Rhinolophus ferrumequinum: one gene and its partner. The protein of the gene in region 2 interacts with the protein of the main gene of each other region in a pairwise test. Links are inferred from orthologs where the notes say so. Each region holds a gene or a part of one and is shown on either strand. Other genes may lie near its edges.

What was found.
Region 1: the proteins of TOPBP1 (region 2) and CIP2A interact in a two-hybrid assay, tested with the Homo sapiens proteins (2 studies listed by BioGRID). The link is inferred for Rhinolophus ferrumequinum from reciprocal best matches to the Homo sapiens genes TOPBP1 and CIP2A.

What each region holds. Positions count from the first base shown.
Region 1 is NC_046285.1:36,203,787-36,215,712, forward strand, and holds the start of CIP2A (protein CIP2A), read right to left. Parts: upstream 5,017-11,926; 5' UTR 4,811-5,016; coding exon 4,709-4,810; intron 1,031-4,708; coding exon 883-1,030; intron 1-882.
Region 2 is NC_046300.1:33,940,584-33,952,371, forward strand, and holds the start of TOPBP1 (DNA topoisomerase 2-binding protein 1), read right to left. Parts: upstream 4,778-11,788; 5' UTR 4,633-4,777; intron 4,107-4,632; exon of another isoform or gene 4,059-4,106; intron 3,990-4,058; 5' UTR 3,983-3,989; coding exon 3,899-3,982; intron 1,990-3,898; coding exon 1,855-1,989; intron 411-1,854; coding exon 267-410; intron 1-266. UniProt on the Homo sapiens protein: Scaffold protein that acts as a key protein-protein adapter in DNA replication and DNA repair. Composed of multiple BRCT domains, which specifically recognize and bind phosphorylated proteins, bringing proteins together into functional combinations.

The DNA of each region.
Region 1 (11,926 bases), on a different chromosome or scaffold from region 2:
GAAATACACAAATATTTGAGCAAAAATACATAAAAATGTTCACTGCACTATTGATTCTAATAGCAAAAACTCAATAAAGAACATACATGAGTACCCATCGTTAGTAAAGTGACTGAATAAATTATAACACTCTACAATGTGGTATAAGGCGACGATGAAAAAGATACCAATATGGAAAGATACCTGAGAAACACCAAGTGAAAAAAGAAAAATGGTGCTCTGCAATACCATTTTGTTAAAAATAACCAAAATTGTTAATTTATTTGATCTAAAATTATTTGTTATAACATAGAAAAAGATCTGGAAACACACGTATCAAACCACTAAGAAATATTCCCAATATCACCGCAAAAGTGAAAATGATGAGGGTTCGTGACGATGAGTAAAGAGTCACTGTAAAGTAATTAAATGAAATTTTAAAAACTAAAGACAAAGTAGGAAAGAAATAAAAAAGCAACACCTGCATTTTAACCCTTAGCTCTAAGTTCAGTGTAGTCTATCAAAAAAGGACGATTTTTTTTTTGATCACTAGTAATCAGTTTTCTGAGTAGTGTTTTTAATATTGGAATTATGTACATGTTCTCTTTTTAAAATTCAAAAGTAGGTCAGCATTTCCCAAGGAGCACACATTCTTTTGTGTAGACCACAATGAAGCTTTGATACGCTTCAGATTCTTTGTTCCAATAATTTTAAGAAAGAATGCATACAAGATTCCCTTTTCAAGAGATCCACAAAGAAAAATAGTTCTGAAAGGACCTGCAAAGAAGAAATCTTCTGAATGTGAATCATTCGCTGAAAGATTCTATGCCTAAATTTTGCCTCTTAAAAATATTAAATTCATACATTTTCTAAAAACTGAAAAAGAGAAACTAAATACATTACCTAGTTGAGACAACAAACTGATAATACTTAAGATCAATGGTGCACTTATGTTTGGGTCTTCAAGTAGCTCTACAAGGCAACTCAGGCATTCACTTGGTAATATCTGATTTGATGTAAATAATCGTGTGAGCTTCTGTCCAGAAATTACCTACAAAATAGTAATTAAAATGCGTTAGTTAAAAATTGGCAGTTTTCTTCCCTTTACCATTTCTAATAAAAACTTAGTTCTTCCAAAGTGCCACGGCCATTCTTTCCTAATTTAGAAAATTCATACATTCTGTTTCCTCTGCCTGAATATTACCAATCCCTTTCTCACTAATTAATGTAATCACTCAGGTTTCAGTTTTAATTTGTTTCCTCCAAGAAGCTTCCTCTAACCCTCTTCTACCAGCTAGGTTAGATTTGCCTATTACATTATCCTATAGTACGTTTCATAAACTGGCAAACTTTTGGCGACCTAATAGTATTTATCCTCCCTACTATACTGAACACTCCATAAAGGCATAGACTACAAATCAACACTCTACTATTAATATATTTATTGAATAAATGAATTCCAGTACATTCATTCCACCTACTTTGAGGGAGGCAATAGAAAGTAAAAAGTAGCTAAATCCAAAGGCTTAGCTATGGGATTAAATTCCAGATTACTTCTGCTCCCTCCCAAAGATAGTAGCTGAGTCCAGAAGCTAGAAATTACAAAAAAGGCAGTAAAAAAAAATTTTTTTAAGTGGCCAAGTCAGGCACAAACTTTACCTTTGGTTATTCCACTTTTTACTCCTCTCTTACAACCGTACAAACCACTCTCCCCCTTACCCCTTGAAAAGGTAAAGCTGGGATTGAAGGACAAAAACAGTTGTCAGACACCTATTTTCAAAATGCTTTTTGAATGTTATTTATTATTAAGCACGTCTTTTCTATAAAAATGGAAGAACAATTAGTTACTTCAGAATTATATTAAATCTGTTCTAAATGTTTTCATTTTTAAAAGATCAAGTCTAAGCAGGCTATTTTAGATTCCCTCTAATCTTTCCTTTCTATGTCCTTTCATTCCCTCACCTAGATGAGTTTTTCTTCTAAAGCTTTGCTGATAAGAGAACTTCAGAGTATCTTTTTCCCAAGGACTATGTGTTTTAACATTAAAGACAAAGTCTGTGAGACTGAAAAATAGGTCCAAAAGTTAAATTAGATACTGATAGTAGATATTTTGCGGTAAGGAATCTTCTGAACATTGCTCTTTTGCCTACTTATAAAGCTAGTCCTCTAGAAGATTAAGACATTTTCTGCTTTAAATACAATTTCCCTCAGAACTGGATTTGTAATTCAATAACATAAGTACTCTAACATGTAATAATTATTACAAGGTACATTTTAAAACTGCTTTACAAATTTTCTTCTTTACTCATTCATACCCATTGAATGCTTTAGGCAAATATAATTTATTTCAGTAATAACTAATACTTTAGCACTTACTTTGGCCTAGGCATTGTTTTAGGTACATTATGTTAATTCTTTTCATCTTCATAACCTGCAAGATAGGGGCTAGTTATAGTGCAGATGAGTAAACACAATGAGATAGTAGCAAAATTGGGATTCATTGTTCCTGAATCCATGCTCATAAACATTATGTAAGATTAGTGCTATGAAAAATCATCAAGATTGAGACCAGTTCAGCTCTGCCTTCACAAAACAATTCAAAGCTGGGATTCTGCATGGGACTATAAAGAAAAAATATAGCAGAAGACATGCAGCAAAATAGCAGAATGAATAATCTTCTTTCACAGGATAACTGTCTCTCTTTGTATCCTCATGTTGCTCTCATGAGGTCTGCGCAAAGATATTCACCATTAATATCATCACCAAAATGGTGGAAATTTAAAAATCTGAAAACACCAAAGATCGGTGTGGATGAATGACAGCAAATTTCATATATTGGTTGTGGGAAGGTAAATGGTATTTACTTGTGAAAAATTCATTGGCAATTTCAACTAAAACTGAACATAAACTGTTTAAGACTTATAATTTCACTCCTATATAAAAGAAATTAGTGCACATATAGCCGCAAAAAGAGTATGAAAATATTTATAAGAGATTTATTCAAATTCTACCCCAAACTGGAAACAACCCAAATTCCCATCAACCAGAGAATATAAACTGTGGTGCATTTATACAATGGAATTCTACACAGCAATAAAAAAAGAACAAAGTATAGCCGATGTGCAACACAAATGAATTTCAGATTATACTGACTGAAAGAAGCCAGGCACAAAAGTACATATTGTATAAGTCCACTTCTCTGAACTTTATGAGAAGGGACATTGAAGAAAACCTCATAGGGGGCTGGAAATGTTCTATATATGATATGGGTGGTAGCTACTTGGGTGTATAGATATGTTAAAAAACAAAACAAAAACAACCTATCAAGATCTTTACTGAAGATTAATGCACGTTATGCATTGTATGTATGTTCTCTCTAAATGGTAGATTATTTTTCAGTTTGGAACCCCCTGAAAGTTTGGAACACTATCAAGAAGCCACTCTCTAAGCCTCAAATTTCTTTGAAGTCTCCTTCAATTCACAATAACATAGTAGTTAGATTCACAACATATCTGTTTATTCTCAGAGAGGTAATGTTTCAAATTAATATCGGAAATACTTAACTTCTGTATCTTACAACAAAACTGACAGCCCAGCTTACTCTGTGGCTTCTGGATCCACTAGTACAGTGTTTTATCTTAATTAAGAAGCAAAGCATTAGCATTTAACAGCTAACACCTTCATCTTTATTAGGTTTGCAGAAATTTGTTGAGGTAATGAATGAAAAAGAAAATGTACTTAGGAGATGGGCACCTGAAGTAGAAAGAACACCAAGTGAAGCTCGAGAGAACAAAGACACATTTAAAGCACTCCACTTTCACCGAAGACTGATTCACAATGGCCTTCTCTTTGTAGAATTTTGCTAATCTTTGGTAATTTAATCTTTTATTTAGGGTTCATGTAACAAATAGAATATACTTTATGTAAATAGAAGCTGCCACAGAGAATTAAAATAAGCCTTGATTGAGCTTAATTATTTATTATTCAACTGAGAGCATTGTTAGGCGGAATTCCATCAATGCTTAACAAATGACAGCATATGAAGAGCAAAAAAAGTTATAACACTGAATAACTACTCTAGACACAAATCAGTGGGAACTAATAAAAAAATGAAAGCAATTCAGTATTTTAGGACTGAAAAGCTGTGAGCAATGTATTTTGGTAAAGAAAAATTATTATGATTACTAGTGAGATTGCCTTTTAATCCAGAGAAAGTTTAAATAGTATTGTTCAAGTTCGAGGTCAACATGAATTTAAAATAAAAGCAGGAAGGAACAGGTTCAGACTGTAAACAGCCTAAGGGACCAGGAATAAAACAAATTTTAATCATCATTCCCATCACCTTCACCCCTGAGAATCGCTGTGTCTTCTGTCAGGGCTCTGTGACGACGGAAAAGAAAAAAAAAAAAAAGAAGCAAAAGAAAAGATATGGCTTTGAGCTTTCTCCTCTACCACCCCCAAACACAGCCTAAATTCCCCAATCTTGTGTCCCAACCTTCCTCTTCCTAGGACTTTCAGCAGTCACTCGACCCTCCCGCAGCAGCCAGCTGAACAAGGAGGGACTAGGGGCGGGGAGAAGAGGGTGGGAACGCAAGGGTGATACTCACTCGCCTTCTTTACCAAGACAAAAAGACAGCTGAGGAAGACAGCTGTCCTTTCTATTCTAGCCTGGGGCCGCTACACTCCGGCAGAACGGTAAACTAAATATTACTACAGCGAAGCCCCTCACCTCCAAGTGCCGCAAAAGCTGGCTAGCGTTCGCCTCCGACTTAACGGCTTTATACTGACTGATGGTCAGGAGCAAGGACTTCAAGCAATGGGTGGAGTCCATTGAGACCCGCCACCGCCACGCCAAACGTCTACCACCTGGACCCAGCCAGGTCGAGTTTCCAGCTTTCGCCGCGCTTTTTTTGATTTGAGACCCCACCCCCTCGCTCCCAGAAGCTTCCGGTTCCGGTCACGCTCCGGAAACCCCAGGGCACCCTGGGGTACTGACTACTGTCAATGACGGAAGGGGAGTGGGGGAGTCGAGGAGATGGAGGGAAGGGGAGTACGGGCAGAGAGATCGAGGAGCTTGATGATTCCGTGAAGTGGGTTGGGAGCTGTCCTTTCAGATCTGAAAAGCCGCGAGGTTTCAGCTTTGAGATCCCGGGAAGACGAGAATCTCGCGAGAAATGCGATTGCTGCTCAAGCTGTGAAGGGGCAGTTAGACGCAAGGGGTCCTTGTTCATCAGTGCGCTCTGTTTTCGTTTGATTCCTCGGCCTTCACGCTGGATAGCCAGTTTTTCCTTTGCGCATCATCCTCTACCTGAGAAATGGTCGCTTCCCCCTAGTCTAGACACGGTGAGGAGCTCTGAGGAGGAGAATCTTGGGCTCTAGGTTTTGAGGCGGCCTGGGAGGGGTCCCTTTTTAACAGCTCATGTGTCCACCCCTTGTACGCAGAAATGCTTGTTTCTCAGAGTAAACCTATGGCCATTGGGATTCTGTGGCAAGTTAGTCATACCCTTAACGTAGTCGTTGTCAAACTTATTTGAGAAAGCTACCTGCGGGTGACTCCTGGGCCGGGTATTGCTCCGAGGGTGATTTCATTAGCGTCAGTTTTTGTAAGTGAAGGTGTCTGTTTTTATTTGGCGTGATTGATTGTTTTATAAATCTCGGTGTCCATGGAAATGGCGCTGTCATTTACGGCTTTTGATCACAGATAATTAATATGCATGTGTATGTCATTAAATGAGTCGAGTAGCTGGTTCTGGAGCTTTTTGCTTAATGTATGCTACTGTTGAATAAAGCTTTAAAAAGCAGTTTGGAGAAAATTGTAAGAATACGGTATATATCCTTTTATTAAACCATTTGTCAGAAATCATGTTTTGTCAATTCAAAGGAAGTATTCCTTACATCACTATTTTTAAAGGCAGGGTGTATTTTTATATTAAAAATCAATTTTAAAATTAAATCTGAAAGCTTAAAATAATCTAACCAATTAGACATACCTGTAAAAATCATTGGGTAATGTATATATGCATTCATTCATTCTGTAAACAATTACTGAGTGTGTAAAGTGGGCTAGACGTCTAGACATCGCCAGTAAGGGAACAAAGATAATGAAGTATCTCCTGCTGGGAAGGAACTGTCTACTAAGGGAAATATGCTAAACAGTACCTATGGAATTCACCACATAAATTAGGGGCACCATGCAGTTATGGTAAAGTTATGGTAAAGGCTGTCTGCTTACAATTCCTACCTCTACCTTTTCCTGTGTGATCTAAGGCAGATTCTCACTGCTTCAATCTCTTCGTAAGGTAAAATCTGGCTAACAGTAATACCTGTTGCATAAGATTGTTCAGTCAGTAAATAATTAATTAGAGCCTACAATGTGCTAGGCACTGGTCTAGGTAATAGATTCAGTGAATAAAATAAAAATCATACTGTCAATAAAACAAAACGTTACCATTACATTCTCTTAGGAAAAAAAACGCTAAATAATAAACACAGTCAGTTAAGGAAAGTGAGATGGAGAAAAAAAATAACAGCAGAATTATTTCTCTAATGTAATGGTGGCTGAGAAGAAGAGAAATGGGAGGTCAGGAAGGAGAAAGCAACATTTGAGGAAATACTGCAAGGAATACTCTCTAGGGGAAAAGATTTCTATATAGAATGGCAAGGGCAGAGGCCCTGAAACGCAAGCCTGACAATGTGTCAGGAACAGTAAGGATACCACTGCCACTGGAGTTGAGAGAATAGTAGAGGTGAGGTCATGTCAGGTCGTGCAGACAGTGACCTGGCATAATTATGTTCTCAGCATGTGTTAGTTACATCTTAATTCCTTGGCAAATGAAGTGATAACAGTTTGGTAATGTGAGACTTTCATTAGTAATGACAAATGTGTCATCATCGTCCCCATTTTGAGCCCAGGGAAAGGGTCAAAGCTTCTTGTAAGTGCCATCTTTCTTTGAGCTTGCATTTTAACTTAAGCAGTCACACATTTTTTTGTATATCTTCCATAAAATATCCATTTTAATACAAAATAATGTTTCTGAAAAATCACCAAAAATTGATATTGTAACTTTAGTAGGGTATACCCTACCATGATGATAGCTGTGAGAAGCATCTTTTTAGTCAGAGATGCTTGCATATCTTAATATGGGAAACACAGAGCCATATTTTAAGCCTCAAAAAGGAGGAAGAGGAGGAGATGAAGCTGGGTCCAGATGACTAAAAGCCTTATTAGTTTTGAGCTTGGACTCTATTCAGAATTCAGTGGTGACCTTTTTTATTTTGAACTGGGGCCTGATCTAGTTAGGTTTGTGTTTTAAATTGATTCCTGTGGCAGCTGGATGGGCTGTGATTTTGAGAAACATAAAACTAGAAGTATGGAGTATATCACATTTGCTGGAGTTTTTCCAAAGGATAACTAGGATAACTGAAGTGGAGGTAGCAAAGAGGTGACAAATTTCAGAAATGTATATGAGGTGAAATAGGCAAGATTTAGTGACTAATTTCAGATATAAAGAGTGAGAGGGATGAAACGAAGGGTTTCCAAATTTTTAGTTTGAGTGGTTGAGAAGATAACAGATACTGCTAACTAGTTAATAAAAAGTATTCCGGTTGTATTTTATATCCAGTGAAATTTTAGAAAGTTTTTCCTACAGTCTTGTACCATTCTCATTAAGTTTATTCCTGGGTGTTACATAATTTTTGTTACTGTGAGTGGGCTCTCTTTTTCTCCTATACATTTTTAATTTGTTGCTGCTTCTGGAAAAAAGATCCTGATTTTTGATATATCTTTTATATAACCTACTAAAATCTCTTACTCTAATAGAATTTTACTTACCTCCCTAGACTTTCTAGCTATATTATCATCTGCAAATAATAATTTCATCTCTCCTAGTGTAGTCTCCAAAACATGGAATAATCATGGTGATACTGAACATCTTTATCTTAATACTTAATTGAATGGAAATGACCAGTATTTTAACACTTAGTATAACTTGTACTATTGGTGTGTGATAAATGTTTTTTAAAGTGTTTAGGAGATTGCCCTTTATACCTGTTTTACTTGAAGATTTGCCAAAATGTCTGCAAAAAAATTGTCAAATGTTTACATTTATATATATTACTTTCTCTTTAAAATGGTAATGCAATGGATTATGTTGTTTTTGTTCTTGGGATAATAATAGCTAACATTTACTGAGCACTTGCCATATGCCAAGCACTTTTCTAAGAACTTTATACTTACTGCTTAATCTTCCTTACACATCATGCTTTTAAGTATTGTTATGTTCTCCATTTTACAGATGAAAAAAATAAGAGAGAAGTGTAATAATTTGTCATCACACCGGTAGTAGTAACAAACTATTTGCTATGCTGCAAATGTTTTATTCAGGATTTTATATCTATGTTCATGAAGATTTAAAATAATTTTTTCTTTATTCTCTCTTTTGGAATTTTGGTTATATATTACTTTTGAAAAATAAATGGGAAGTTTTTCATCTTTCTTCTGTGCTATAGAATAATTAGATCACCTAGGAATCATCTGATCTCCTGGGTTGTATACAATGCCTACAAAATTAAGCTTGATAGTTTATTTAGTGGTTAGAGCGTTAGAAAATATTTATATTTGTAATAGGGTTATAGATCTGATAATTTTTTTCTATCTTTTCTCGAGTTGATTTTGGAAATACTAGAAATACTTTGTCATTTCTCTAGATTTAAGAACCAACTATTTCTCTAGATTTAAGAAATTGATAGAGAATTGCATTAGTATTCCAATAATTCTCTTAATCTTTTACTTGTTTGTAATTTTAGATTTGCTTTTTCATTCTAACGTTATCTTTTTTCTTAGTTGGGCTTTCCAGCTGTTAGTCTATTTTATTCATCTTTTCAATAACCAACATTGGTTTTCTTCTTTTTTTTTTTTCAAAATCACTAATTTTACTTTTATCTTTATCATTTCCATCCGTATACAAACATTTTTCCTTTATTTGTTCTTTTTATAGTTTTTTAAAAGTTGAAGTCTTAGTATATTTACATACTATTTTTTTTAATGAAGAACTTTTATTTTATGCTCCCACCCCCCAAAAAATTGAAAAGACAGTAGCTAAAATGAGCGTCTGCATTTTGCCAGTTAGGTAGTATATAGTTTTTAAATACTAATATCCATTCATCAAATATTTGCTGAGTACTAGTCCTTTTTTAAAGAGCTTAAAGTCTGTGGGGGGAAATAGAGAAACCAGAATAAGTGCTATTAAAAAAAATAGTATATGCTATATAGGAACACATGGTATGTTTTAGAGCAAAATACTAAGTATCCAATTCCTTCATTCTTCAAGGATTGGCATAAAATTCCTATTCTCTGTACATTTTTATTGCTGTCCGTTATTTATATGTGGCATAGGTATTTTATTTATAGTTGGGGAAACACATTTAAGGGAGTTAAACAAAAGATGTTCAATATCTTACAACTTAAGTTTAGGGCTATCTACCTCCTTTAGTTCTTCTGGGAAAACGTTAAAAAAAACACACCATATCTTAAATACTGAATAGTAAATTGGAGATTTTTAATGTCTCATGACCAGGTTTAAGACATATTAGATGAATCAGACTGAATGAAGATATGAATTATATTTTTGAGAGAATTGCAAAGTTTGTAAAATACTGAATGTTGTAATATAGGAATTACACCAGAGTTGTGAACAGAGGGCTACTTGTTCATTTGTTCATCCACTATTTGTTTAATGAATGCTTGAGTGGTAGGTACATTGTTAGGTTCTGGGGATATAGCAGTGACTCAGACAAAAAAATTTCTATCCAAGTAGAGCTTTTATTTTAATCGGGGATATAGTCAGTAAACAAGACCTATAAATAAAATGTATGAATGTTAATAATAAGTGTTATGGAGGAAAAGAAGGGAGATGGAGGATGGGAAGTATCAGAGTTATTGTGGGTTGTTACAATTTTAGATAGTTGGGGAAACACATTTAGGGTAGAGTATTGATTAGTATTTGCTGTATAACAAATCACCTCAAAACTCGGTGGTTAAAACCATGAGCATTTATTCCTTGCTCACAGGTTTGAGGGGTAACTGCAATTAGTCTGATCTTGGCCTGACTTGGCTGCGTGGCTTTGCTCAGCTGTGTTTTGTGGGGAAGGGGAGATATCTAGAGCTTGGTTTCAGTTATGTTGAGATGTCTACTAGATATCCAGGAGATGATGAATGGGCTGTTGAATATATTATTTGTAGTTAAGGGAGAGATCAAGGCTGGAGATAAAAATTTAAAGCCTCGAGACTAAATGATTTAGGGTGAGTATGGATAGAAAAGACTATAGCCCAAAGTAGTTAAGTATTTAAAGTTTGCAGAAATGGGGAGGACCAACAAAGCACACTTTGTTGAGAAGTAGTTGCCAGAGGAAAGGGCACTATTATCCCATGGTTGTCTACAGGGATCAGTCTTACTTGTAGCATCTCGGCTACTCTTCTAAAGAAGGACTTCAGGTTGGCAGAGAAGGCAGTCTTAATCTATTAATACATACAGGCTCACTCTTCACTTCTGCCTTCAGAGGCCTTAAGGTGTGCAGAAGGATGGATAGCTTCATTCTTTAAATCAATATTGGCTAGTTAAAATGTGTCAGGTGCTGTTCTAGGCACTGGGGATGTAACAGAAGGATAAAAAAAAAAAAATTTTTTTCCGAACTTTGTGGGGCTTGCATTTGAGTGGGGACATAGGCAAAATCCAAAACTAGATCATTTGATAGGCATAAATATCAGGAAGAACAAAAGTTCCATTGGCCCAGATTCCAAAGATTCAGGGCAAAGAAATCCAGTGGTAGAACTGGCAGAGGTCTATTTGGATACCATGTCCCGACTATGGCTAAAACAATTCAAATACTACTAATATTAAATAGATTTTACTTTTTATGCAGGACCAGAAAACAAAATCTGTACAATTAATGTAACCTCTCACTTTTCAGAAATGTTACCTTCATCACAAAGCCAAAAAACCTATATAAACCAAAATTATTCTCCCTTTACAATTATTCTTCTCCTGTTTCTTTTCCCAACTATCAGGTATTAAAATTCAGCTAATCTCTAAATGATTTGCCAAACCATAAAGTTAAGTTTCACACTTTTCAAACAATTCCTGATTTTCTTTTCTATACATTTCATAGAAGTCAACTCTAGGTTAAGAGTACAAGGTTTGTCTATTTTCGGTTAAATGTTTTCCCCCACATTTTCACATATAATTTCATATCCCAGAATCAAAAGGTTGCCTTTTTTTTTAACACAAGTACTATCCACTGTTTCTGAATCCATTTTTGTATATAGTAAATATGAAAGTGATACACTTTTATTTTAAGTGAAGATACAGTAATCATTTTTAATTATAACTAATTTATTGAAGGTCTACTTTGTGCAGGGCAATGTCTCATTTTTAAATTTCTGGTCTTTCAGAAAGTAAATATTATCAAGTTCATGAAATGGGTAGATACAGGTTTCCTGAATTAAGATGTGAAGCTCTTTTCTAAGACAGTGGAGTATGCACAGCTTACCATATGTGAAACTGTCTATCGGGGTATGGAAACAAATGATAGAACTTTTTATTTTAATCTCATTCTTTTAAATATTATAGTAGTACCTGCATATAATTCATAAATGAATTACTATTCATATATTTTCAGTATATTCTCAGGTTTACTTCTTTAGAGATACGTGATCAAAAAAATTGGAAAATTCCCCAAAATCTTTAACCTTGAGAGAATAATTAGACAATATTATAATTATTTTTCATTTCAATACCACATACAATATTTAGCATTGTCCTGAATTGTTTTGTTGAACAAATGAATTTTCTTAGGAAAAACTAATGTGAATGGTATACTTGTATAAAATATTAAGACGACATGATTAATTGTCTTTACAGTATCATTTACTGAGCAGTGCAATCATGTA
Region 2 (11,788 bases):
AGTGATTCAAACACAAACTCATTGACTATATAGAGAAAAAGTGAGTTTCCTTTTAGATCAAAACAAAAACTTAAATTAGCCAGTTTTCAATAAAACAGATTCCACTATATTCAATTTATTAAAAAATAAAAAAGATACACACTGTTGTATACTGACTTTGTATACTGTATATTTGTAAAGTATATTCTACACAGTGAAAAATTAAGTGTGGAAATACAGATATAATAATCACGATATTCTTCAACACTTCAACACCCAACACCTACCCTTTTGACTTTTTCCAGGCTTGTACAAGATACAGTTATATCAGACATAACCATATTATAAACTGGATGTTCAGCTCTTGGGACACATCGCTGGTGTTGCATGCAAAATATAACTACTTGAGGACCAACAATTCTGCAGCCAAGCTATAAAAAAAGAAAAAGTTCAGTAAGTAAGAAAAGACCTCCAGTCTTATTACATTTTGTAATATTTATCAATTCTTTATAGAAGTTGATGACAACTGTAGAAAAATCACCAAATTGTTACAAGGAAAAAATAGTTGCACTAACACATTAGACACAAAAACACAAACAAATCAAAACAATGCAGGCTATCAAAATAAGCTCTAAGAGCTACACTCACTCAAAATTACCATCAAAATTTTAATCTTTGAAACAATCTTAATGGGGCATGAGTAGTGCTCTTATGCTAAAATAATTAGGAAATGCCCACATATATTTTTCAAATGAAGCACCCAGCCAATGAAATAGACTGAAAATGTAAGCCTAAATAACTCCTCTCTAAAGTACCTCTTATGTCACATAAAAAAACATATAATCTTAGGCAGTTTCTACATTTGTGTTTTAAATACTTTGCAACTCAGTCTTTCCAAGGAAGAGCCACAAAGACTTCGCCTATGATATTGCAGGTTACTCAAAAAATCACCTTTCATTTTCATTGATAACTGAGTTAAGAAAAGCGAAGTCTTGCTCAACACCAGCACATTCAACATTCAAGCCAGACTGAAAACCCTACAGTTGTCAAAGTCACCATGGCATGACTGACTTAAATATCTACAAGGTAAATGATTATTGCTATCTTCTTGGTCAGCCATAAGAAAACTGAGTTTTGATGCTATCGATTCTATCTGACAAGCAGTAGTATTTCCAAAAGGAAAGTAAGACCAACAATGCTTTTGGCAAAAGTGGGCACACCTTCCATAAATTGTACAGATACTTCATCTACCTACTCTTCTATGTTTCCTTCTTCGAACAAGAATCAATTCTTTGTAATCTGGATGGAATTATAGCCAGCTTACTTTCATTTCAGTGCTTCTCTTGTCCAGACACCAAAAAAAGTAATGAGTCAGTAGACTCTAGAATCAACAAAAAAGAAATAGAATGGCTCGCTGGTATATATACAATACTCATCTCTAAATGCTTCCTTTTAGCATCTAATTTTTCAGACCCTACACAAGGCACAGGCATTAAAATTCTGTGTCCAAGAGCACGTAGGAAAGACAGGAAGTAACCAAACACTATGCTGAGGTCTTTTCCTACTTTTCATTATTTCTCCCTGAAATATCTCACTATCTTTCTGAATTTAAGTACAGAACTCCATCACTAAAATGCTTTGTTACTATGGGGTTCACTTATACTAAGTTAAATCCCCTGAAATATAAAAATTACATAAAACAAAAGTCTGTTGTAACATAATTAGCTTTTAAAAATATTCTGGTCTCCCAAAACCAAAGGATTCCTCTGTATTCATAATTTGCATACTTCGTAATCAGTAAAGAACTTATGTCCACTGAAGCAACAACAAACCAAAAAACAGACTACTGAAGGAATGTACTAAAAGTTAGCAAACCTTTTTGAGGTGATCAAAGACAGCACCCCTAAAAGGGTCACAGATATAAAGTGATCTATCATTCTCCTTTATCTTCAATGCTTCTTCTTCTGTAATAATCTGAAGATATTCTTCTGATTGGAACTCTTTTATTGACTGAAAGAAAAAAATGAAGTAAGATTACACTTAAAATTAGTCACTTGTATTTAAGTCCTATGAAGTCTATCTTCAATATCTATCTCAAATCCAGCCTTTTTTCTATTGGTAATACCATCACCTCTCACTTAGACCTTCTCTCTCCTCTGCCCTAAATCTGTTCTCCACACCTAACAATCTTTTTAACAAAATAAATCAGGTCATGCCACTCTCTGCTCAAAACCTCCAATGGTTTCCCAGCACACTCAGAATAAAATCCACATTTCTTATGATGGCCTATAAGACCAGAGAGTCTGGCCCCTCTGCCTGTTTCCCCACCTTTACCTTTTACTTCGCGACCCTCTTGCTTATCTCTAGCTACTCCTACTTTCTTGTTAGGACTGGAACAAGCAAAGCATGACCTCATTTAGAGGCTTTGCTCTTGTTCCCACTGCCTGGAATACTCTTCTCCCAGGTCCTCACCTGACTTGATTTGTCATTTCAATCATACCTGTTTAAATGTCACCTCCTCAGAGATACCTTTTCTGATCATACTTTCTAAAATACCCTTTCCCTATTCCTCCAGTCTATGTCATGAAGGAAAATAATACGGGTATTATGTACATATATATAGATTTGTCTTAATCCCTTACAAGAAAGTTTCATGATCTTGTTTGCCACCACATCCTGGCACCCAGTAAGCACTCAAATATTTTCTGAACAAAATATAAAGTCCTTATGTTAGACACTTAGAATGATCCTTTTAAAACAATTAAATCAGATTACATTACTCTTCTGATTCAAACCCCACAGTGACTCTCTACCTCACTGAAACTAAAAGCCAAAGTCCTTAGGATGGCCGACAAGGCCCGACATGACCACGTCACTCTTACGCTCTGCAGCATCCCTTAATCTTCCTCCATCCCTTGCTCCCTACACTACGGTCACACTAATGTTCGACAGACACTCTAAGCACTTTCCCAGGGGCCTCTGTCTGTTTGCTGAAATCTTCCTCAGATATCCAAAGAGCTAACTATGTCACCTCCTACAAGTATACTCAAATATCCATAAAACCTACCCTGATCACACGCTATTTAAAATTATAACCTTTCCTTCTCTTCCTCCCCAACAAACATCCTCCAAACCCCTTAACCTGTTTTTGTTCTTTTCTGTTCCCAAAGCACTTAGTACACTGTAGTACTGTATAGTTTACACATTTATCATGTCTGATTGTCTATTTCCTCCTGCTAGAATAGAATGTAAACTCTGAGAAAGGAGGGATCTTTGCCTGCTCTGATCATTGATGTATCCCAAGTACTACAACGGTGCTTATCAGACCATGGACACTCAGTAATTTTTTGCTGAATGAGTGAACTTTAAAGAAAAACCTGCTACAACAGAGCATCTTAAACTTTCATGTACACAGGCATCACTCTGAGGATCTTGTTAAAAATGCAGATTCTGATTGGTAAGCATGAGTTGGGGCCCAAGGCTCTGCATTTATAACAAACTCTCAAGCCATGCTGCTGCTGCTGGGATCTGTATGCAGCAAGTCTCCACCTTACCCCTACGTCCTCCCGTATTACACTGTACATATCAAACATACTTTTAACAATTAACCTCCCCAAAATATGAAGTGTAACCAGTACATGGCTGACTCAAAATTTTTCAACACACAAAGGTCTGCTCTGGTTAGTAGACAAAAGAAAGCAACTTAATTTAACTCCCAAGAACAGTAGGTCTGCCACTTTCAATAGAAATGTCATAATAGATTTGATATACTTATATAATGACATATCTATATTAATGTAGAGTAAAACTACATATTATGAAAATAATTATTACCAAGACATAAAAGCCCAATAAACCAAAATCACTAAAATGAAGAAAATGAATTCACAGGATCAATCGAGATGTTAACTGTTCTTACCTCAAGAGCTTTGAGAAAACATTCGGAATTGTCTGAAGACTTTAAAAACTTCACAAAAAACGGTTCTTTGTCATTTTTGGACATTTTTAAACTGTCAAAATAAAGGAACCATTAACAAGAACAAAAACACATTATGTATGAAGTTAAATGCTTAAAGTACCTATTTTTCTGTGCAGACAAGAATGCCTAAGGATAGACATTTTGGCCTTGTCCATGAATTCAGCCATCTCCGTTGTAAGAAACGCTGGAATGTGGGCAGAGTCAAGGAGAAATATGACAACACCAATCCTTGCAAACCAGAGAACGAATACATCTAATACGTCCCTAAACTGAATGCATCTGAGGACCCTTGCTATGGGGGGGAGGGGTTGTCTAACTCCCCCCGGCCAATGAACATTCAATTGCACTTGGCTGAAGGATACACAGAATGAATTTGTCCCTGCGGGTACCCATAGCCCTCGAGGTTTGTTCACCCCTCACTAAACGAACTTTAAATATAAACACGTAAGGCAGGTAGCAAGGTCATGCCCCCTAACAGGCAGGACGCTCTTGCTCCCCAGCTCCTAGCGAAAGGCCTGGCTCCTGGCGCAGGCGCACCCACGTCCTCCTTGGAGTTTAAGTGCCACCCGCCGGTTACAAGGGCAGGAAACGAGGGCCCCGAAGGCCAGAGGAAGCGTCGCGACCCCCAGCTGGGGTGGGAAAGAAGCAAGGTCCTCTGTCCGCGCCTCACTCACCTCGGTGGAGCCTGAGGGTTTGGGGACGGTGAGTGGGGGGCCGCGCGGCTGGCAGGAGAGCGGCGGTGGTCGGGCGCCAGCCCGGCGCACACCCGCCACACCCGCGGCGCCCCCGGACCGAAACACGCAAAACCCGGAAATTGCGAGGCCTGGAACCGACTTTCGCGCCAACCGCGCGGACAAACTCGCCTCTTCTGGCGGAAGTGACGCGGTGCGCAGCTGCGGCAGGAAGGTGGAGTCGTCCAAAGGGGTGGTGGGTGGCAGAGCCGCCCTTCGCTCAGTGGGCTGTGGGCTTTGCCGGTAAGTTTGGGCCCGGTGACCTGGGCTTGGGGCTGTGAAGGGCGGGCCTGGGCAACCCTGGGAGTTGGCCGAGCGCCCACGGCTCAGGGGATGGGGCTGGGGGCCAGGAGTACCTCAGAGGAGGTCCTAACCTTTGGGAAAATAAAATTAGGGAAAAGAGAGTTTTCTCAAGAAATATTTTATACCTGCTGTAGGCCAGGCAGTGTGAGAGAAACCGTTTATTATCATCCAAAACGACCCTGTGAGGCAAGGAGTAGTATCTCCATTTTAGGCACGGAGAAGCTGAGGCTTAGAGAAATTCAATGATGTGTCCAAGGTCAGACGGTAAGTGATGGAATTAGGATGTTAGCCAAGTCTTTGACTTGTGGAGGAAAATGGGGTTCTATGGAAAGGAACCCCACAGGGTGATCTGATCAGAAATTCCGAAGGGGGCAGGTCATGAGGGGTAGTCACGCCTGAGGCATCTAACTTGAGTAAAAGGCTTGTCTTTGCCTTAAGGCAGCCCTGTCCATTGTTTTTGTGCATCTAGGTTAACAACACCTTTGAAATGCCCTCGTATCAGACTTTCTAAAGTGAATCTTAATTATCCTGTAATCCGATCCCGACTTGCCTTGCTTTCCCCCACCTTCGTGTAATCTTCCTTACTTCTTAATCTCAAAGGCATGAAAAAAATTGCGAATTTATTCTCAAAGAATTTATGTCAGTCTGTTGAGATCTTGCTTCCAGGTGTATCTGTTTGACTCAGACAAGTTTTTACAAAAATTCTCTACAGGTTTGGACGTTCTTAATGTCCACAGGCTCCGCGGACTGGGTTCTTTATCCTCTAATGTAGCAAGAGTGTAATTACTGCCTACCACTTTCAGCCAAGAATGCTGAAGGGGAGAAAAATGTCAGGATGACTCGAATTATACACCTAGTGCAAAGGGGTCTTTGCTGAGATCTTCAGTCATCTTCCCCCACTCTTGGGCCCTCAATGAGCATTATCATTTTCTCTCTAACTTCCTGAATGTAGGAGAGATTCTGGGATGGAAACTAATGTTCAAATGGCAAAGATTCAGGGAAGAGGAGGTAAAATGGGACTATAAAATCGTGGCTTATTCATTACCAATCACAGACTGCTTAGATAGTGTTTCTTATTTTATTCTTGACTCTTGAGATGAGAATCTCATGATTTTGGACTGAGTAATGTGACAATTTAATGCCATATACTTCCATTATTTTTCTTTTTCTTCTTAGCACCTAAAGATGGCAATGAGCTGTGTTGAGTCTAAATGTCTGAATATACCCAAAGAAGGTGAGTCAGACACAGTAACACTGGGCTCAAAGGTAAAGGCCCGGCCCATTGTTGTTTTGTTTAAAAATAAACAAAAGTTACTTGTTTAAAAAAAAAAAAGGATGTCATAGTTAATTGTTAAGCAAATCTGTTTTGAAACTGTAGTAATAATTACTATTTAGAGGGTACTTTACATTCCTACTTACACTATTCCTGTTTACTCTTCCCATCAATCCTGTAGTATGTGGGCATCATTGTCCTGAGTTATGTAAATGGAGAAAATGAGGCTCAGGCACTGTGTAACTTGACCAGGGCCACATAGCTGGGAAGTGGTTGCACCTGGGCTTGGGAAGAGGCAGTGTGACTGGAAACCTCTGGCCTTCCTGACCAACCACATTGCTCCTTGTCACATGCTGCCTGCCCATCTCTGCACGAAGGTCAGCATCGGGACAGGAGCCTATTCCTGACATTTCTGGGGCTGGGTGGAGGCCTCTCGATGGAAGGAGAGTCACAGATGTCACTAATGAAGATGAGGAAAAATGAAATCAACCCTTTAGCTTTTAGCCAGCTGTATTTCAACACTGTGTTTCCCTGAAAATAAGACCTAGCTGGACAATCAGCTCTAATGCGTCTTTTGGAGCAAAAATTAATATAAGACCTGGTCTTATTTTACTATATGACCGGGACTTTGTAATATAATATAGTATAATATAATGTAATGTAATATAATACCGGGTCTTGTATTAATTTTTGCTCCAAAAGACACGTTAGAGCTGATTGTCCAGCTGGTCTTATTTTCGGGGAAACAGGGTAGCAGGGGAGTCGACCTCGTCTTTAGAACAGGAGACCAGGGGACAAGATCTCCCATCCGTGTCTCCACACAGGCAGACAGGGTCTGTATCTGTCCCTGAGGGACCTAATCTTGGGCAGTAACTAGAGCAGTGGTTCTCTATCTGATGGACTGCCTGGACCAGCTGCATCAGCGCCACCGAGGATTTGTTGGAAATGAAAATTCTTGGGCCTGACCTCAGGCCTGCAGAGTCTGAAACTCGGGATGGGTCCCAGCATTCTGTGTTTTCAAAAGCCCTCCAGGTGATTGTGATGCACATTAAAGTTTGTTTGAACAAAGATTTTTTAGGAAAGGGTGAAAGAGCTTATATGGGTTGTGGTTATTAAGATGGTGAAAATGGGGAATAGCTGTGATATGCCCTCAGGCAGCTGCCTCAGAAGGTGGAGTTTGGATTAACTTCCCCCTCACCTCCCTGGCTTTCAGGGTCACCTCCCTATTTCTTTGGCACTTTTGTCACCTAGAACCAGACACTCCAGACCCTGCTTAGAGTAAGATTAAAGGGAAATTTATATTTATCTATTTTTAGAATGAAAAAACAGGAAACAAATATGACAAGATAGTTACTTTTAAAATATGGGTGGTGCGAATATGACTATTTCTTGTTATATTTTGCTACATAGATAAGATTTCTCAAAATTTTAAATATAGATTTTTTGAGAGTTTTATATTTTCTAGTACTATAAATGAATAAATATGTAAGGGAATAAATAAAGGTATGATTTTAAAATGAGGTGAGTAAATTATCTTTATTACTGCAGAAATAGGCTTTGCAGTGGCAAAATATTTGTATAAACTCTTGTCTTCAGTAACCTGGAAGGTAAAACATAGACCTACAGAGTCTGCTGAGGTGCAGGGAAGGAGGTAAAATTGAATGTTAGCAGCACTTGCTGGTTGGTACTGGCTGAATTTAGCAGATATTATAAGAAAGAGACAACAAGCTCGTGGAAGAATTGGCTTGTTTGCAAGAAAACATAAAAGAGAATTTATAAATCCAAAAATGTGAGGTTTTGCAAGTTTGGAAAAGCTGAGTGCCTCTAGGTGCTGCAAACAAGAGGTAAACTTAAGAGACGTTTTGAGCAGCAAACGTCCATTACAGCTCATCCATGTGGAAGAGAACTAGTTAAATAGTATGGTCCTCCCACGCAAGCTGGGTAAACACCATCAATTGAGAGAGAGGTATTGTGCCCAGGATCGCAATCAGGCTTGAAAATTAGTTCTAGAGAGAACTGTGAGTATGGCTACTACTGTATTTCCTGAAAATAAGACCTAATTGGAAAATAAGCGCTAGCTTGATTTTTCAGGATGACATCTCCTGAACATAAGCCCTAATGTGTCTTTTGGAGCAAAAATTAATATAAGACCCAGTCTTATTTTGGAAGAAACGCTGTACTGTAGGGAAACAACTCTACCATGTCTTTCTGGCAACTTTGCATAGATCCATATAGGCAGAGGTTGGGATGGCAGTATATCTGAGCCCCTGGCCAAACACCTTGTGATCCTGCTGGAACGTGAGAGGATGGGAAGCCTCTAAGGAACAGCTAGCTAAGAGGGCACCTCTCACTCATCTTCCTGCCTCCCCAGGAGGCTGTGATCACTTTCTCATTGCCTCCCAGATTCTGATGAGGTATGGGGTTCTCTGCCCCGCTCCCCTCAGAATAGAGCTGCAGAATATAAAATCACTTAGCTGCTATGGACATTTGGCTCCTCAGAGATGGGGTTTCCCACAACACACATTGCAGCCCCTTTCCTTTCAGTGTCATCCTTTTTGGTGTAAAACGGAACTGGGGAGCTGGCACCTTTGGCTTATTCTGTTTTGCTCTCTATGGAAGTAATAATCTATATCTAAAAGTGTCTCATGTGTCTTCACCAGTCTAATCAGTCAGGCCTCACCCTTGACCTTATATATGTGAGGTTGAGAACTACCACATGAAACTGAATGGAAGCAAATAGATATGCAGGTTATTCAAGTTTTGAGATAATAGCTTTGTGAAGGAAGCCAGAAACCTGAAGTATTCGGACTTTGATACAATCTTCAAGCTTGCATAGTAGAAAGTGGGTAAAAAGTCCTACAGCCCCAAAGATGCACAAACTCTTCAATACCGTGCAGATGTGTCTAGAGAGAATGATGGAAAGGGAAGACCCTCCCAGAGGGAGGTGCCAGGGACCTTGGAGAGCAATGAGCAAAGGAGCTACTTTCAGAGCGAATCTGAATCTAATCAAGCAGAGGAACCAACCACCTAGTCAGTGCCTGTCCAGCAGGACTTTACAGTTGACACTGACCAGCAACAGCTATGGGTCTTCATTCCCCTTTCTGAAAGTGGGTTATATTGTAGTTATTGTCCCTGCTCCACCATTGTATATCAGGTGTGCTGTTAGGGGATGGGCAGCACCTTGTGTTTTCAGTCCATATGTCACTGGACCGTAAGGTGGATTCTGGTAGAGACCGTGTAGCAGAACTTTAGTATCCCACACATATCCTCTCAACCATACCGCTCTTAAGCACATTGGGAAACTTCTACCTGCCAACCTACCAGCATCCGTGTTTCTTTGCATGAAGGCATTCTCTGACACCAGGAGTCTGCTTTGCTACCTGCACAGTAGGCCAGAGGGTGAGAGGTTATGACCTATGGACAAAACTCTCAAACAATGACTAACAAGAATTGGTGTACAAAACTCTTGTTTGCATGCCCCTTGGATGGCATATTCTGCCCTGGCTTTCAGAGTTTTCTCAGTGGAATTAAGCTCCGGTCTCCACAGTGGTAACTGACTTTTTAGTACCTCACTTAGATTCTTTCTTTTCCCTGTCTCACTTCCCCGTCTCTTATCTGTGTTTCTTTCCTTACTAAATAAAACACTTGAAAAGTCTTGTCTGAAGTCTGTTTTCTGGGAGAACTCAAACTAAGACAGAAGATCCAAGACATGTGCCCCCTTTTCATAGTGTGTGTTGTTGCTGGGAAGAAGTTGCCAAGTTTTCCGGTTGCGAGCAAGTGTTTCCGGTTGCCAGCCTCTTCACATCTAGATGGGGTCATGTGATATAGGTAGACGTGATGCTTATTACTTCCAGGCCTGGTCCATGAAAACCACTTCTACTACCTTCCGCAGTCTTCCATATTCTGGATGTCAACACATAGGGCAGTCTTGGAAGCCACATTTTGAAACTGGCAAAGCCTCTCAGCGTGCATCTCTGAATGACTGACTAGAGTTATGAAAGTGAACTCCCCATCCCTGCCTCTCCAACAAATTATCACCACTGCTGCCAGAGGTGAACTTGTGTTATGTTAAACTATTGAGATTTGGAACTTCATTTTTTATGGCAACTAGTACCAATCTAATCAATTCTGAATTTAGCCAGAGGTTTAAACAAATGTGTTGCCACTTTAAAACTTGTCTTTATTGGGCCGGCCCAGTGGCTCAGGCGGTTGGAGCTCCATGCTCCTAACTCTGGAGGCTGCCAGTTCGATTCCCACATGGGCCAGTGGGCTCTCAACCACAAGGCAGTTAAACTCCTCGACTCCCGCAATGGATGGTGGGCAGTGCCCCCTGCAACTGAGATTGAACATGGCACCTTGAGCTGAGCTGCCGCTGAGCTTCCGGATGGCTCGGTTGGAGCGTGTCCTCTCAAACACAAGGTTGCCAGTTTGACTCCTCGACTCCTGCAGGGGATGGTGGTCTGTGCCCCCTGCAACTAGCAACAGCAACTGGACCTGAGCTGCGCCCTCCACAACTAAGATTGAAAGGACAACCCCTGGAAGTACACACTGTTCCCCCAATAAAGTCCTGTTAAAAAACAACAACAACAAAAAACACCACTTGTCTTTATTTCCACAAAGGTTCTTAGAAAAAGGAAGAGTGAAACTGCTCCAGAGACAAATGCCAGAGACCACATGGTGAAAGCATGGACTGTGGAAGCAGGCTACCTAGGTTGAATGCTGGCTCTGACATATACTAGTTGTCTGACCTTGAGCAAATTACTTAAACTGTTTCACTTTCTTCCTATACCAAATGGAGATGATACCGTGTTTCCCCAAAAATAAGACCTAGCCAGACCATCAGCTCTAATGAGTCTTTTGGAGCAAAAATTAATACAAGACCCGGTCTTATTATAGTAAAATAAGACCGGGTCTTATATTAATTTTTGTTGCAAAAGATGCATTAGAGCTGATGGTCCGGCTAGGTCTTATTTTTGGGGAAACACGGTAGGAGCATCTACTTCATGGTGTTACTGTAAATTAATATTTGAAAAGCACTTAGTTCAGTGCCTGGTACACAGTTAATGATAAATTTACAAATTCCTACTTTTCCAAAGGCAATTCTTGCCATGAAGTCTTTAAATTGTTTCTGACAATGCAATCTTCTAACCTTCTGCTCTGCTATTGTGAGAGGTTGTACCAAAGCAACAGATGGCTTTAGCACTTTGGATGTTCTTCCTTTGCAATATAACTTTGTCCCTGTACACAGGAAGTTGTCAGAGTTTGCTCCATTCTGAGGTCAGAGAGCACGTTGGCCCTTTTGGGTTTGAGCTGTGTTAGCTTTAGGTAGATCATTAACCTTGGGAGGAATGTTCACCTCTTGACCGTTGCTGGTTTTTGTCCACAGACCTGTAGAGAAGATTGCTCAACCCACTTTTGAGACAATCATTTATGTGCATTTTTTTATTTATTTGATATTTTTTGAGCCATATATTAATACCAAATCCTATTTTCCAATCTGGAATTAGCATGCTGAACAAGTGA